Linked DNA regions of Ovis aries. The protein of the gene in region 1 interacts with the protein of each later gene in a pairwise test. Links are inferred from orthologs where the notes say so. Each region holds a gene or a part of one and is shown in the gene's direction. Other genes may lie near its edges.

What was found.
Region 2: the proteins of TK1 (region 1) and CRMP1 interact in a two-hybrid assay, tested with the Homo sapiens proteins (2 studies listed by BioGRID and IntAct). The link is inferred for Ovis aries from reciprocal best matches to the Homo sapiens genes TK1 and CRMP1.
Region 3: the proteins of TK1 (region 1) and UNC119 interact in a two-hybrid assay, tested with the Homo sapiens proteins (2 studies listed by BioGRID and IntAct). The link is inferred for Ovis aries from reciprocal best matches to the Homo sapiens genes TK1 and UNC119.

The regions. Positions count from the first base shown.
Region 1 is NC_056064.1:53,319,376-53,324,404, forward strand, and holds the end of TK1 (thymidine kinase, cytosolic), read left to right. Parts: intron 1-1,887; coding exon 1,888-1,977; intron 1,978-2,271; coding exon 2,272-2,391; intron 2,392-2,572; coding exon 2,573-2,776; 3' UTR 2,777-3,512; downstream 3,513-5,029. UniProt on the Homo sapiens protein: Cell-cycle-regulated enzyme of importance in nucleotide metabolism. Catalyzes the first enzymatic step in the salvage pathway converting thymidine into thymidine monophosphate.
Region 2 is NC_056059.1:104,103,647-104,108,592, forward strand, and holds the end of CRMP1 (dihydropyrimidinase-related protein 1), read left to right. Parts: coding exon 1-121; intron 122-1,174; coding exon 1,175-1,340; intron 1,341-3,455; coding exon 3,456-3,547; 3' UTR 3,548-4,504; downstream 4,505-4,946.
Region 3 is NC_056064.1:19,953,698-19,958,266, reverse strand, and holds the end of UNC119 (protein unc-119 homolog A), read left to right. Parts: intron 1-1,327; coding exon 1,328-1,441; intron 1,442-1,943; coding exon 1,944-2,046; intron 2,047-2,160; coding exon 2,161-2,333; intron 2,334-2,579; coding exon 2,580-2,692; 3' UTR 2,693-3,253; downstream 3,254-4,569. UniProt on the Homo sapiens protein: Involved in synaptic functions in photoreceptor cells, the signal transduction in immune cells as a Src family kinase activator, endosome recycling, the uptake of bacteria and endocytosis, protein trafficking in sensory neurons and as lipid-binding chaperone with specificity for a diverse subset of myristoylated proteins.

The DNA.
Region 1 (5,029 bases):
CACTGCAGACCAGGCAGTTTAAACCACAGACATTCATTTCCTACAGCTCTGGAGGCTGGGAGCCCAAGATCAAGGTGTGGGCAGGGCAAGTTCCCCTGAGGCCGCGAGGGAGAGTCTGTCCCAGCCGGTCCCCTCGGCGTGCAGGTGGCCATCTGCTCCCTGCCTCTTCACATTCGTCTTCTCTGTCTGTCCCTGGGTCCAAGTTTCCCCTTTTCGCGAGGACACTATTCCTACTGGAGTGAGGCCCACCCTACACGCCTACTTTAACTGGATGACCTCTGCAAAAAGGTCACATTCTGAGGTATTGGGGGTCAGGGTTTCAGCATAACAATTAGGGGTGGGTGGGAGGGTTCACAAGTCAACCCATAATATAACCTAAAAAAATGAGTGGCGATAGAAACAAATGTCAGTAAGGTGGTTGGTTACCAGTGGGCCTTCTGCGATGTTGCAGACAACGTGGGCAGCTCTGACTGTACCTTGGATCATTCAGGAACCCCTGCTGGGCAGCTCTGACTGTACCTCGATCATTCAGGAACCCCTGCTGCAGGCCCTGGGTTCAGTGTTTGGGCAGAGAGTGGGGTGGCATGTGAACAGGGCGCAAAGTTCAGGTGGAAGAACTGAGCTCTCTGACCGCGGGCATCACTGTAGCAGGCAGGGTGGAGGACCCCTCGCGGTCCCCAAACCCTGGTGTGGAGGGACCATGTCTGGACAGGGAAGGTAAGATGAAGAAGGTGCTCCTCCCAGGGTGGTTCTGCTCTCAACCTTCCCCGTGGATTTCTGGCAGTGTCTAGAAACAGTTTTGTTTGTGACAATGGGGGTCGGGTCGGGGCACTGGCCGACAGGTCCTTACAGGCTAGCGGCTGCATTTCTGTGACCTGTGACAAGTCCTTTAGAGAAAAGGAGGGGCCTCACCTAGAGCCAGGCTGGAGCCTAGGGGTGGGAGGTGCCATTTCCATAGTGCAGGCTCGGCAGACCCTGCAAACCCTGCAAACCCTGCAGAGGCCAGTCAGATCTGGCTTTGGTGAATCCTGCTGGAACTGGTTTGGGTTCTCTAAGCCCTGTCCTGGTCCTTGTCTGGGTGAGCCCTCGGGTTTTGTAACTACGCATCTCCACGAGTAGCTTGGAGAGAGACCCTTTGCCCAAACACTGGAACTCCCCACTTCATCCAACCCACAGACCAGATAGATGATTGACCAGTGAAAGGTCACCAAAGGATTTGTTTAAGTAGTGGCCCCTTGGGCCACTTGAAATGAAATTTGATTTACCAAGTAAGGACTTCCCACGGGTGGTGTGTTGAGCCATCCTGCTCTGTAAGTGGCCAGTGGAACTCCTGCCCCTTCTCCAGGCATCACACGGCACATTATGTTTAAAAGAAGAAAAAAATAAAAGCAAACACACAGAGCCTGCCTCTCAGCCAGATAGCATATGTAATAAATTATTTGCGTGTCCTTAATCCTTAAACATCGCCAGGGGCCTTCCTTGCCTTTTCCTGGGCTCAGGAACATGAAGTCATTGCCAGGGTCACAGCTAATGGGTCCAACGGAGAACCTGGTTCAAGCCTGAGGCAGCGGATCCAAGCTTTGGTCCACTGCAGTGGCAGACGGCCTCTCCACCTGGGTTGCATCACCCTGGTGGCAGTTCCAGGCGCCTAGCCTGGAGCGCAGCCTGGCTCTGCTGTGGAAAGTTGGTGCGATGGGGGAGTGAGTCGGGAAGCTGTGGATGTGCAGGCCGTGTACCAGATGGGAGGGCTGGCGCGGCCTTGTTCTCAGCTCCACGTGGATGCAGGTAGCTGTAGCTCCTGGGCCTGGCAGCGTGTCTGCAGCTCCTGGAAGGGGCTGCCCAGGGCGGAAGCTCACTCCCTCCTCCGCCTCTCACCCTTTCCTCTAGTTCCCTGACATTGTGGAGTTCTGCGAGAACATGGCCAACTCAGGGAAGACCGTCATCGTGGCTGCACTGGATGGGACCTTTCAGAGGAAGGTGAAGTGTCTGGTCCAGGTCTTGGGGTGGGACCGGGGACAGAGGCCCAGGCAGCGCACAGAAATGGACAGCCCAGGGCGCCCTTGATGCCCACACCATGCCTAAGCCCAGGCACTCAGGCCAGCCAGTCCCAGCTCCCTGGGGTGCCCCTGACTCCACCTGCCTAGGGCAGGTGCTCTGGGGAAAGGCAAGGTCCAGGCTTAGTTTCCTGGCTTCAGGGGTGTGAGTCAGGGTCTCCAGGAAAAGCCCACCCGGCGAAATGAGTGTGCACTCCTCTTTCTGTGGATTGTACAGGCTTTTGGGACCATCCTGAACCTGGTGCCCCTGGCAGAGAGCGTGGTCAAGCTGACGGCGGTGTGCATGGAGTGCTTCCGAGAGGCCGCCTACACCAAGAGGCTGGGCGTGGAAAAGGAGGTAGCTGCCCCCTGCCTTCTCCAAGGGATGGGCGGGTGGGGGGCAGGGAGGGGCGCCTACACCTAGAGGCTGGGTATGGAGAAGGAAGTAGCCGCCCCCTGCCTTCTCCCAGAGGCGAGGGGTGGGGCGCTGCGCCCCAGCCCCGCTCAGTCCAGGCGCTTCCTGTCGCACCGCACGTCAGGTCGAGGTCATTGGAGGAGCAGACAAGTACCACTCTGTGTGCCGCCTGTGCTACTTCAAGAAGCCCTCGGGTCAGCCCGCCGTGCTGGACAGCGAAGAAAATAAGGAGAACTGCCCGATGACACTGGGAAAGCCCGCGGAGGCCGCGGGAGTCCGGAAGCTGTTTGCCACTCATCAGATCCGGCAGTGCAGCCAGGCCAACTGAGGCACTGGCCCCTCGCTGGGGCGGGCGCTCACCCGCCACCTGCTCCCCCCACTCGCCCGCTGTCGCCCCCTGGCGGATGCCGGGCCTTCTTGGAGGAGGAAGTGGCGGGGGGCGGGGTTGGGGCGGGTAGAGGTTTCACCACCAGCAGTTGGCCTGCTGCTGCGCCCTTTCCCAGGCCAAGGAGGCGGCTGGTGGTCTGCACTGCACACTTCCCTCCTTGCCTGCCCACCAGCTTTTCTCAGTTCCCATCCCGGCTGCGGGGCGGCTGCGGGGCGATCGCAGTCTCCCCAAGCCGGAGCTGGCCGCCCTATGGGGCGGGGTCTGGCCGCTGCAGCCATCCCTCTTGGGGTGAGGCCAAGCCGCAAGCTGCTGTGACATCGGCGTCGCCGGCTTCTTCCCCGTTTGTGGCGTTTGCTGTTGAGTTTCTGTTCTCACTGGGAAGTCCATATCCCAGCACCTCTGGCTCAGCGTGGGCCTCTTCCCACGCAAAGACTTGGTCCCTCTGCCTGGGATGGGCTCCTGGCTGCCCCTGGGGATGGCTGGACTTCTTATTTCCTTTGGGGCTGAAAGCCCTTCCTGATCTGGCGATCATTTTCTCCGGAATTACAGCTTCTCCCATGTGGGTGACACTCACCCTGCTCTGGGGCTCAGCTCCCAGGGGCTTGTTTTCTAAGGAGGTGGGGGCTGTGTGTATGTGGAACTGATAACTAATATTAAAATCTATTGGTTGGTAAAAGCCTATTTCTCTTTTAACTGTCTGGGATTCCCCGGGTCTCACTATAGACACCTCTGACATGATTCAGGTATGGGGATTTCCTTTCAAATCTTTTTCTAGTACTCCTGACCCCTTAACCACAAATCTTTTTAACTGAGATATGAGCATCAAGTGTTCTAACAGGCATGTTTGCCTGCTCTTCTGCCTGGGAGGGTTTCAGGTCAAGATGAGTGGATGCAGGAGCCTGGGGCTTGGTTGGAAAGATGAAGCCTTGGTCTGTGCTGCCAGCTGGGGCTGTGAGGTCAGGTTTTATTTTGTGAAACAGACACTTGACAGTTCAGGAGCCAGGAAGACCAGCTCTGCCGTGCCTTGGGAAACGGGCTGTGGACAGCTTATGGGAAGGTGAGGGTGCTCCAGGGTGGGGTGGGCCTGGGCTGTGTGTTCCAGATGGGGCCCCAGTTCCCCACCCTTACCCCAGCTTCTCCCTCTCACTGGCTTGTGGCAGGTTACAGAGGTGCAGTACCACGGTCAGACCATAATCCCCAAACCCTATTAATTTTTACTTGGGGTCTTGAAACTATTGGGGTCCACTTTTGACAGCTCCCTCTCACTGCTCGAAAGGGGAAGCCCAGAGTTGCCTCGTGGGCCCTGGCCTCCTGCCTGAGGGGAGCTCGTTCCCTGGCGTGGGCTGGGCAGTTAGGTCGGCTCCCCAAGGGTCTGAGATGGGCTGCAGGGGTTCTGAGTCCTGTCTACAGGAAGCAGAGGACCCTTGCCCCTCCAGGGGCATGCCAGGACCCTGGCAAGGCGGCCCAGGAAAGCTGTGTTGTTTACAAGCTGAGCACAGTTGCTATTTTAAGATGCTGATGGAGGGCAGCGTGAGGCATGAGACCCCAGGCGGGGTGGGGGTGGGGGGAGTTGCTGGGCTGTGGAGGGGCAGGTTGCCACAACTTAGGTTCCAGAAGGCCTCAGTTGCAGCTTGCACCTTGCACCTCGGTGGAACTGGGAGAGGCCCCACTAATGACAATGGAGACTATGAATGAGAAAACCATTTATTCCATCTCCAGAATTAGTCTAACAGAATCCCAGGGTGCTGTGCGTCCTTCCCCCAAGGCTTTGTAATATACATTCAGAGCAGTCTTGGGGCTGTGGGTGCGTCCGGTACCTCCTGACAGACCTGGGATATTTACATAAAGCTGGGTGTTGTCAGGCAAAGCCCCTCCCTGTGGCCACAGGGCGGGATCAGAGACAGGGTCCCCCGGGGTGGGCACCAGCCCTGCCCCTCGGCTGCCAGGAAGGTGACCCAGAGGCACTGGCACAGAGTGTGACCACAGGTCCAAGCGAGCACACACTTCAGCAGTGAGCACAGCCAGCCGCCCACAGAGCAGGCAGGGGGCTGGGGCGGAACAAACCTGAGTGAGGAGGGAAGGAGCCCCGGCCCAGTGCCCACAGCAGGAGAGAGAAGGCCCCGCAGCCTCGTCTTTGGCAGAGAACCCGAAATGGCTGCCGCCACCGGTGCCTGGACATAGGCCCGGCTCCCG
Region 2 (4,946 bases), on another chromosome or scaffold:
CAGCCAGGGCAAGATCGTCTTCGAGGATGGCAATATCAACGTCAACAAGGGCATGGGCCGCTTCATTCCCAGGAAGCCCTTCCCCGAGTACCTCTACCAGCGTATAAGGATCCGGAACAAGGTGATGGTCCAGGGCCTCTGCCTGAGCCTCCCCTTCCTCCTGTGTAGGAGGAGGGAGCCAAGGACTGGAGTCGCGGTACCATCCCCTGTGCAATGGAGGAGGGAAGCCGGTGTGAGGCTGGGGCGCTGTCACTGACTCACACTGGGGACCTGCTTGTGTCCCTGGCCACACGCTGTCTCCCAGTACCTAAGGCAGACGCCCACAGACCCCTGGGTGGCTCTGAGCCCACTGGTGGGCTCCCAGCCTCCCACCTGAGCCCCTGCAGGTTTTAGCTTCTCTGCTCAGGGCTCTGTCCCCTGGGGCAGCCCTCAACCCATGCAGAGAGCTGGGGTCCTTGGCCCATTCACTTCTGGGTCCCAGCAGAGGTTTGTGTCTGCAGTTGCTCTGAGCCAGCTGCCGTTAGAGGTGACCCTCTCATCCTTTCTCCATCTGTCTGGGATCACCTTCCAAACAAACTACCCAACATCCCCTAATCCACAGTGAAGACAGGCCCTCGGATGCCCCGAGTCCTCGGTTCAGGGGTCCTCGTGGGGATGTCAGGGAAAGTGTTTTCCTCTTGGAAATGGCTTTGCAGTTCTGCAGGAAGCTGTGTGTGTGTGTATGCGTGTGAGTGCATGCATGCCTGTCTTTACATGAATGTGTGTTAGGTTGTACGTACGCATGTGTGATGTGTGCATTATATGTGCGTGTTAGTGTATGTATGTAGGCATGCACGTACATGTGTAAAATTGTGTGTATGCATGTGGCGTGTGTATTATGCATGTTAGTTGGGTGTCCAGGCTGGTGTGTGTGTGTGTATACACATATGTGTGAATTACGTGTATGTGGAGTGGGGGTGTATGGCGTGTGCGTGCATATGCATGCGTGCACACGCGTGTGCGCGTGTATTTAGGTATGCCGGTGGATGTGAATGTGTGCCTGTGTGTGGCGCGTGTGCAAGCATGTGTGTGCACACTTGTGCATATTCCCAGGGAGACCACAGGTCACTCTCCTGCACGTGGGAATGCATATGTGCATCTTGTCAATCAGTTGCTCTTCTCACCCTTCTCTCAGGTTTCTGGGTTGCAAGGGGTTCCCAGGGGCATGTATGATGGGCCTGTGTACGAGGTGCCAGCCACACCCAAATATGCAACTCCCGCTCCTTCTGTCAAATCCTCGCCTTCCAAACACCAGCCTCCACCCATCAGAAACCTCCACCAGTCCAACTTCAGCTTATCAGGTGAGAAGCTACAGCAGCCAAGGGTCCCCATCCTGCAGTGGCTCCCAGCGCCCGGAACTCCTGAGAAACGGACCCACAGCCTCAGACACCCAAGGAACCAAAGATGGGAGTGGGGGAATCCCTTCCTCCCTTCCTCCCGGGGTTGTGCAGAAAGCAGAGGGGGTCCATGGGGGCAGCATAGAGGTACATGACCCTGGTTTATGAAGAATCTGCGTAAATTGTCCATGTGTTCATCCTTAACGCACTTGGGTCCACCATGAAGCTGAGCATGGAGGGGAAGTCACAGTAGCTGCCTTTGCTGGGTGTATCTTCTGGGTCGGATCTTTGGCTAGTCCCATCCATGGTGGTTTATCACACGCTCATGACTGTTTCAGCCTCACAGCAGCCCTGTGTGTAGAGTCATATTATTCACACTTATTTAAGGAGGAAATGAAGGCCCCAAAACATTCAGTGTCAAAATGCCAGGGCTTGATGCTCAGCGAATGTGTGTGGACAAAAATCAGAAGTTCCTGTGGTCCCTCAGCCTTTCCGAAGGCTCTTGGGATGCGTGTCTGCAGTTTCATCAGCTCACCACACGAGGGCAGGCGTGCATGTGTTGGGACCTTGGAATTTCGATTGAGGCGTTAGCATGGGTTACTTGCTGTGCCAGGTACTAGGAAGATGATGATGAATAAGACATGGCTGGGCAGCCTCAGTCCAGTCCAGAGGTTGGCAGACTTTTTCTTAAAAGGCCAGATAGTAAATATTTTAAGTTTTGTGAGCGAAGAGGCAAAATCTAAGACCATCAAAAAATGCAAAAACTATTCTTAGTTCATGGGCTGTACAAAAACAGAGCTGAGTTTTGTCAGTGGGCTGATTTGTGGTCCAGCAGGAGTGAAGGGCAGTTAAATAGAAAGGCAGTATGGTTGACAAAAGGGAGAATGGAAGGACAGAGAGAAGATACCAGTTTAAATACCAGTTTAAATTGTGGGGGTGACCACCTACCACAATAATTCAGGGATCATGCAATGGGGGACATGAATTAAGGGGTCCCTCAATCCAGACCTTCTTGCCTTCCCTGAGCCCATTTGTTCTGGAAGGAAAATCTTCTGACCGGACCCTCCCCACAATACTTCTCCCCAGCATTATCCAGCTTTCAATATTTACTTAATACATATTCGTTGAGTGCCGGCACAGCTTAGTGCTGGAATTTTAAATCTTTAACTGCAAGAGAATGCATGAGATTGGAACGGACGGTTAGCTTTGCAGATTTAAAACAAAAAAGGCTGTCCCTACCTCCATGCAGATCTGCCTGTGGCAAATGGGGTGGGTAGATCCAGCTCTCAGTGTTCACACACAGGCACACATGCATGCCCACACATGTGCCCCCACACGTAACACATAAAACACCTTGGGAACGTTGGACTTTGGGGACGGACCACTTGGGGCTAGAATTCGGGCTTTTCTGCCCTCCAGTGGTGCCCCTACAATGGGTGACCTGAGCCTCAAATTCGTCATCTGTAAATTGGGGGTAAAACAACACCCCTTTCACAGGACTGCTCTGTGCCCTGAACTCAACAACATATGCTTTAGCACCAAGTCTGTGCCTGCACATAGTAGGCAATCAATAATTATTTGTCCCCCTATTTTAGGCTTCCCTGATAGCTCAGTTGCTAAAGAATCCACCTGCAAGGCAGGAGATGCCTGGTTCGATTCCTGGGTTGGGAAGATCCGCTGGAGAAGGGATAGGCTACCCACTCCAATATTCTGGCCTGGAGAATTCCATGTACTGTATAGTCCGTGGGGTCGCAAAGTCAGACACGATTGAGCAACTATCCCTTTCCCCTGTTGCAAGAACATGAGGCCAGACAAGAAAAGAGAACAGAGTGGTCCGTGCTGCAGGAGGGTGGCCCCGGGACCTCGTGGGGCATAGAAGAGAGAGCACTGGACCCCGTGGAGGTCAGGGAGCCTTCCCAGCGGTCACCCTGGACTGCAGGGTCGGGAGGATGGAGGGCTGGTCAAGACAAGGGCTGCATGTCCCAAGGGCCTGACATGGGGACATGACACGAGAGGCATGAACAGCCGGCGGAGCTGGTGTCCACAGATCTCCGAGTGACTGGCCGTGTCTCCCCCCAGGCGCCCAGATAGATGACAACAACCCGCGGCGCACCGGCCACCGCATCGTGGCGCCCCCTGGCGGCCGCTCCAACATCACCAGCCTTGGGTGAAGGCGCTGCACGGATGAGCCAGAGTGAAGGATTCTGGGAAGGACGTCCATCCCTTACCCTGTCAGTGTTTGGAAGCCCGCAGTTGTGTTTGGTACTGATGGAGGGGGGAGGGAGATGGAATGATGTTCTTTCCCTTTTTTTGGTTTAGGAAGAAGTGGTACTAGTGTGGTGTGTTTGCTTGGAAATCCCCTGCCCACAGTCGTGTGTTCATCTGAGTCCACCTCAGAGCATGGCGTCTCCACAGGCCCCTCCTTAGTGAACACAGGTTCTGACCTTGTCTTGTACTGTTCCCTCCCACTCCTGACGCCACGGGCTCCATGGTTCTCCGAGTGGTTCCCTTGCACCCCTCTAGCTGTTCTAGGATAGTTGATGCATGTTACTAAGTTATGTATGCGAGTCCGTGCGTGCGTCTGATGGAAGACGGCCCGAAGACCCAGGTAGACAGACACGAACCCAGACCTCAAGCCCCCGCGGGGGGCAACTCCAGATCTCTCACGAGGAAAGTATGTCCTCATCGGCCCACCCCCCACACCCCCGGTGAGATCCTGGGTGGGTTCTCCCAGCCAAGAGAGCCCCCCACGCCCACCTGCTTACCGAGAAGCATCATCCGCGTCCTGTGTCAGGAACCCTGGTCTCCGTGGCGCCGGTAGCTCGCCATGTCTTTCCGGTCCGTGTGTGTCCTTCCAGCCAGCTCCGGACTGCAGGCCGAGCCAGGTTCACCCTCAGAAAGGGGTCTCCCGCCCGCATTCAGGGCTGAGGACGGTGGGGCCACGGCTGCTCCCGGTGCCCATGTCCTGGTCCCTCCAAGGCGGATGATGGAGCAGTCAGATTTTTAAAGTTTTGTACATAGTTTTCCTTTGTAATCACTCCCATTTTTACTTAACGACTGACTTATTGTGACTCTTATTTCTGAATTCAAAGCTTGTGAAAAAATAAAATCAATGGCCCATTCCCGGACTGGGGTGTTGGCATTTAAGTGGCGGCTGGTTGGGCGCACATGCTTGGACCTTCCCTTCATGGTAACCAGACAGCGGTGCTCACTTTAACAAGGACTCGTTAGGTGGTGGGGGACACAGAGGAGGGAGCAGAGGGAGCCGGTGGTGATTTGGGGAGTGTTAGATCCTGAGACCAAGGACGGGAAGAGGAGGAGGATGGCTGGTAAAGGGCCGACTTCTCTGGTGCAGACACTCCCACTGTAGCCAGTTTCAAGCTAAACCAACATGAAGCCTGTGAGTCTGCAGGCCGCACACTGTAGGTTGGCTCCAGTGCACAGTGCTATGGTACTCTTCCAGCAGAGATGGTCGCTCCTGTGCCGACTCCCCTGCTCTGGGACATGGAGCTCAGGCCAGGGGACCCAACACAAACGTGTTCCATAGCACCTGGCCCCAGGACACCAGAG
Region 3 (4,569 bases), about 33 Mb from region 1:
GTTTACTTTCTGTGAAAATAAGTTGTGTCCAGGGTGAGGCAGGACCTGCCTACTTCCATTCCTCCTCTCCCCACCGTGGGCTGTGATGGGCAGGCCAGGGCTCCAGCCCCACCATAAGTCCTGTGTAGTCCCTGCTGGACCCCAAGTGCCAGGTGGCCACCAGGAGGGCTTCCTGGAGGGGGCTGCCCCATGCTTGGGAAGAGAGAATGACTTTACATTCACTTCCTCTTCCTGCCCCAGAGAAATCAGTGGTGGCCTAGGGGCCTAGCGGGTGATTTCCGGGCCTCTGCAGGGAGGATGTGATGCTGTGCTGGCACCAGAGCCCCCACTGCACCTCTCTGTTTCTTCCTATTTGCTGTTGGGGCCTCCTCCCTGAGTGCTTGCAGTTGCCGCTGCAAGAGTGGTGAGGGTTGGATCAGGCCCTGCTATTTCTGAGCTTCCTCAAGCCGAGCCCACCACTGTTCGTGGTTCCTCTTCTGGGCTCAAGGATTCCCCTTACCCCAGTCACAGCCCTGCTATACCTGCCACACCCTCTTACTGGCCTTGCCTCTTCTCTCTGGGGGTAGCTCAGAGTCAAGGGTGGATGGATTACCTTTAAGGGGGGGTTCCCTCCATAGACCTCCTCTGCTAAGACCTCCTCTTGTTTGAAGATCAGTGGGGGATGAGAGCAAAGGTAGCTCCCTTTCCCTCTCCACACCCCGCTCCCCCCCAATATTCCAGGCTCTGGGCTTGAGTCAGCAGAGCTTTGACTAAGCTGCTTAAGGGAGCTGGGTTTGTATAAGCCTCTTATGGGGAGAGGAGGGGCCTGGGGGGTGAGGAAGAACAGGGAAGGGGTTGTTTGTTTGCCCCAGCACTACCTAGGTCAGATAAAGTCCTTGCTTGACACACTTAGATGTGGCACCGGCGTATCCTCTCTGCAAATAGAGCTGTCACCCCCATTAGAGTGAGGTCCCTCTCAGGGTGGTGGGGGGCGGGGCTTCCCACCCGATTCTAGACTCATCTGGTTAAAAGTCACTGAGCCACTCCTGACATAGCAGAGGCTGGAATGAAGGGCCCTCCACCCCCAGGTGGGAGCGAAAGTGTGGGGGAGGTGGTCTTGTCCTCCCTCCTGCCCCTCCCTGACCCAGAAGCTACCAGGAGAGAACCATTTGTCCACCATTAGATCACAAGAGCAGAGCTATGTCTCCCCCGCACTCTGTGGGGGCTCCCTCAGGTTAGAGGCTCAGTTCTCTCTGTCTGCAAAGCAGTCACCCTAGGGATCAGAGAAAGTGGTAGCTAGTCTGGGGTAGCTAGGTCCCTGCCTTGCTCAGCCGCCTATCTCCCCTAGACTACCTGTGCTCCCCCGAGGAGAATATCTACAAGATTGACTTCGTCAGGTTCAAGATTCGGGACATGGACTCAGGCACTGTCCTCTTTGAAATCAAGAAGCCCCCAGCTTCAGGTGAGTGCATTGGGTACGCCAGCATCCACAGAGGAAGTTGGCCGCCCAGGGACTCCGGAGGCCACTGAGGAGTCAGAACAGAGCTGAGATCGGCACTCAAGTCTCCCCAGCAGTCACCAAGCAGCAGGGCCCTCTGCCTGGGGCTGGGCTGCTGTTTTACCTTCCCCTGGGTCCCTGGGGTTGGACGTCTTGAGAGGGCAGTCCTGCCTCTTCAGTCCCTGCCAGCCTGCCCCCTGTAGGCCCCCTTGGGAACTGCAGTCCCAGAGGCCCCAGGTCTTTTTATCTCTTGGGGCTCTGGGACTCTCAGTTGAAACTGGTGACCTGCTGACCAATTTAGAAGCAATTGGAAGCATTTGGCCAATGGTCTGAACCCTCAATATGCATCAGGATCTCCTGAGGAGTTTTGAAAGAAATTCAGACAGATGAGGTCCCTGGGGTGAAACTCCGGGTGGGCATGGGCCCCACCTGAAGCCCACTGAGCCCCAGCTGGGGTGCATTACAGAGCGGCTGCCCATCAACCCGCGGGACCTGGACCCCAATGCTGGGCGCTTTGTCCGCTACCAGTTCACGCCTGCCTTCCTCCGCCTGAGGCAGGTGGGAGCCACGTGAGTCACTGGGCTGGGGAGAGGGGTAGGGGTAGGGGTGGGAAGGAGCCCTTCCTGAGTTCTTGCTGAGCCCCTCCTGGGGCCCAGCTTAGCCCCGCCCCCTTGTCTGCTCAGGGTGGAGTTCACAGTGGGAGACAAGCCTGTCAACAACTTCCGCATGATTGAGAGGCACTACTTCCGCAACCAGCTGCTCAAAAGCTTCGACTTCCACTTTGGCTTCTGCATCCCCAGCAGCAAGAACACCTGCGAGCACATCTACGACTTCCCTGCCCTCTCCGAGGAGCTGAGTGCGTTGGGGGCGGGGGACTCAGAGGGACCAGGTTGGAGGGAATGTGGGTCTGAGCCCCTCTCTTCCCTTTCCAGCTCTCTTGTGTCTAGCCACCATTCCTAAGCCACCTATAGGGAAACTGAGACCCATAGAGGCTGGGGGAACTCTTTGTTCAGCTTATCCCTGTCCCCGAGTCCTGAAGCCCCTGCTGTGACCTGGCTCAGGCTCCTGACCTTTGCCCCAACTGGCTGGGCCTCTCTTGCAGTCAACGAGATGATCCGTCACCCGTATGAGACACAGTCCGACAGCTTCTACTTCGTGGATGACCGGCTGGTGATGCACAACAAAGCTGACTATTCCTACAGCGGGACGCCCTGACTCCCCAAGCCACCCCCTACCTCAGGAGGCTCCTGGGCCCACCCCACAGCCGTGACCACCCCAACACTCACCTCTCAACCCCGGGTCTTCTGTCCGAGGAGTATTGCTGAAGCCCTGAGTCAGTGTTGGGAGGGAGGGTGCCTGAGGTCCCCCAGTCCAAGCCTGTGCAGCCCATGGGGCCTGGCATGTGGGGTGGGGTGGTAGTGGGGCTGTTCACCTGCACATTCCAGGAAGACCCTCTGTTGGAGGAGTAGCCAGGACCTGCAGACAACCTAGTTGGCCCTAGCCTCTTGGGCCCAAGTTGCAGAATAGAGATCCCCTATCCAGGCTTTTCCCCTGCCCACTACCGACAGGCCATTTAGTAAATTCACAGATGAAGTTCCATGCGGGGTCTGGTAGTCAAGCTTCCCAAGGGAGTCTGGGTCCTGACCCCAGCCCTGGTCTCTACCATCAGGGACTGAGATCCTGCCTGAGGTGTGGGAAGGACCTGCCCAGATTACAGCCTGTGGTAGGGGCTGGACCAACTGTATATAGTTTTCAATAAACTCTCCATTTCTGTTCTCTGGTTGTGGGCCGGCATGTGTGTGTGTGGTGGGGACTGGCGGGGGACAGTAATGTGGTCCCAGGGTAGTCCTGTCTCCTGGTCCTCTGCACCTGGATACCACTCCTGGCATCTAGAGTTGGTATTTAGTATGTATTGCAGCTGGAAAGGGTTTTTCCTTTGATAAAGATGGTGACCTGAGCGCTCAGAGGGGAAACTTTGGCCCAAAGTCATAGCTAACCTTGCAGAACAGAGGCTGGGACAAGGGCGTGCGACTCCAGTGGGAGGGAAGGTGTTGGGAAGGTGGCCTTGCCCTCTACGCCACCTTCTCTGAACACAGAGGCTACTTAGGACCGTTAGGTTGTCCTTTTAGCCTTCATCAGAGAGAAGGCTAAGGCCTGGCCCCCTCTTGCCTTCAGCTGCCTTGAGGAGGACCCCAGGCTTGGCTGCCCTGCATATAACACTGCCCCCAGCCCGACCCCAGTCACAGAGGATGTCTTCATTTTCTTAATGGAAGAAGTTCAGAAACAGGTAGATGGAGACTCTATGTCAGGGTTTACAGCCTACTGGTCCAGGCACTAATTTGGATACACTTGGCGCTATTTCTCTCTGTCGCCTGAATAGTTAATCTCTAGTTAATCTAAGCCTGCAAGGCCTGGAAGTGCTGAAATTCACCTGGGTTCTGTGGAGCCCTTGCGGGAGGGCCAAGATCTGGGCTGAACTCTGGGGTTCTAAAATGAGTGAGACATTGGGATTTCCCTGGTGGTCCAGTGCTAAAATTCTGCTCCCAATTCAGGGGCCGCAGTTTTGATCCCTGGTCAGGGAAATAGATCCCACATGCCTTAACTAAGACCTGGTACAGCCAAATAAATGAGTGAGACACAGGGAACAAATACGCGTTTTAGAATAAGATGAACTGGGCACACGGGAGCAAGAGTCATCCTGCTTGGAGGGTTCTAGCGAGGATTCGTGGATGAATCCTATCCACCCCAACATTCAGGCCACACACCAGGGACTCAGTCTCAACTCCCATCTCTAGCTCCATCCAATCACTGGAGATTTTGCCTCTTAAAAGTCTCAACTTCATCTGCTTCTCTGCAGTTCTTTACCTCTCTCTCGAATGCCTACAATATCCTCCTCGGCACCCCCTCTGCCTCTAGTATGGAAGAACTGGGGAGCATCCTGACATGACCGCTTAATAGCTGTGCAATGTTGGCAGGGCAAGTTAACCTCTGTGCTCCAGCATTTTCTGAAAAATGGGCGTTAATCCTCAGAATTGATTGCGGACAGTCTAACGCATGTAAGGCATTCAGGCTTGGGCCTAGCATTCAATATA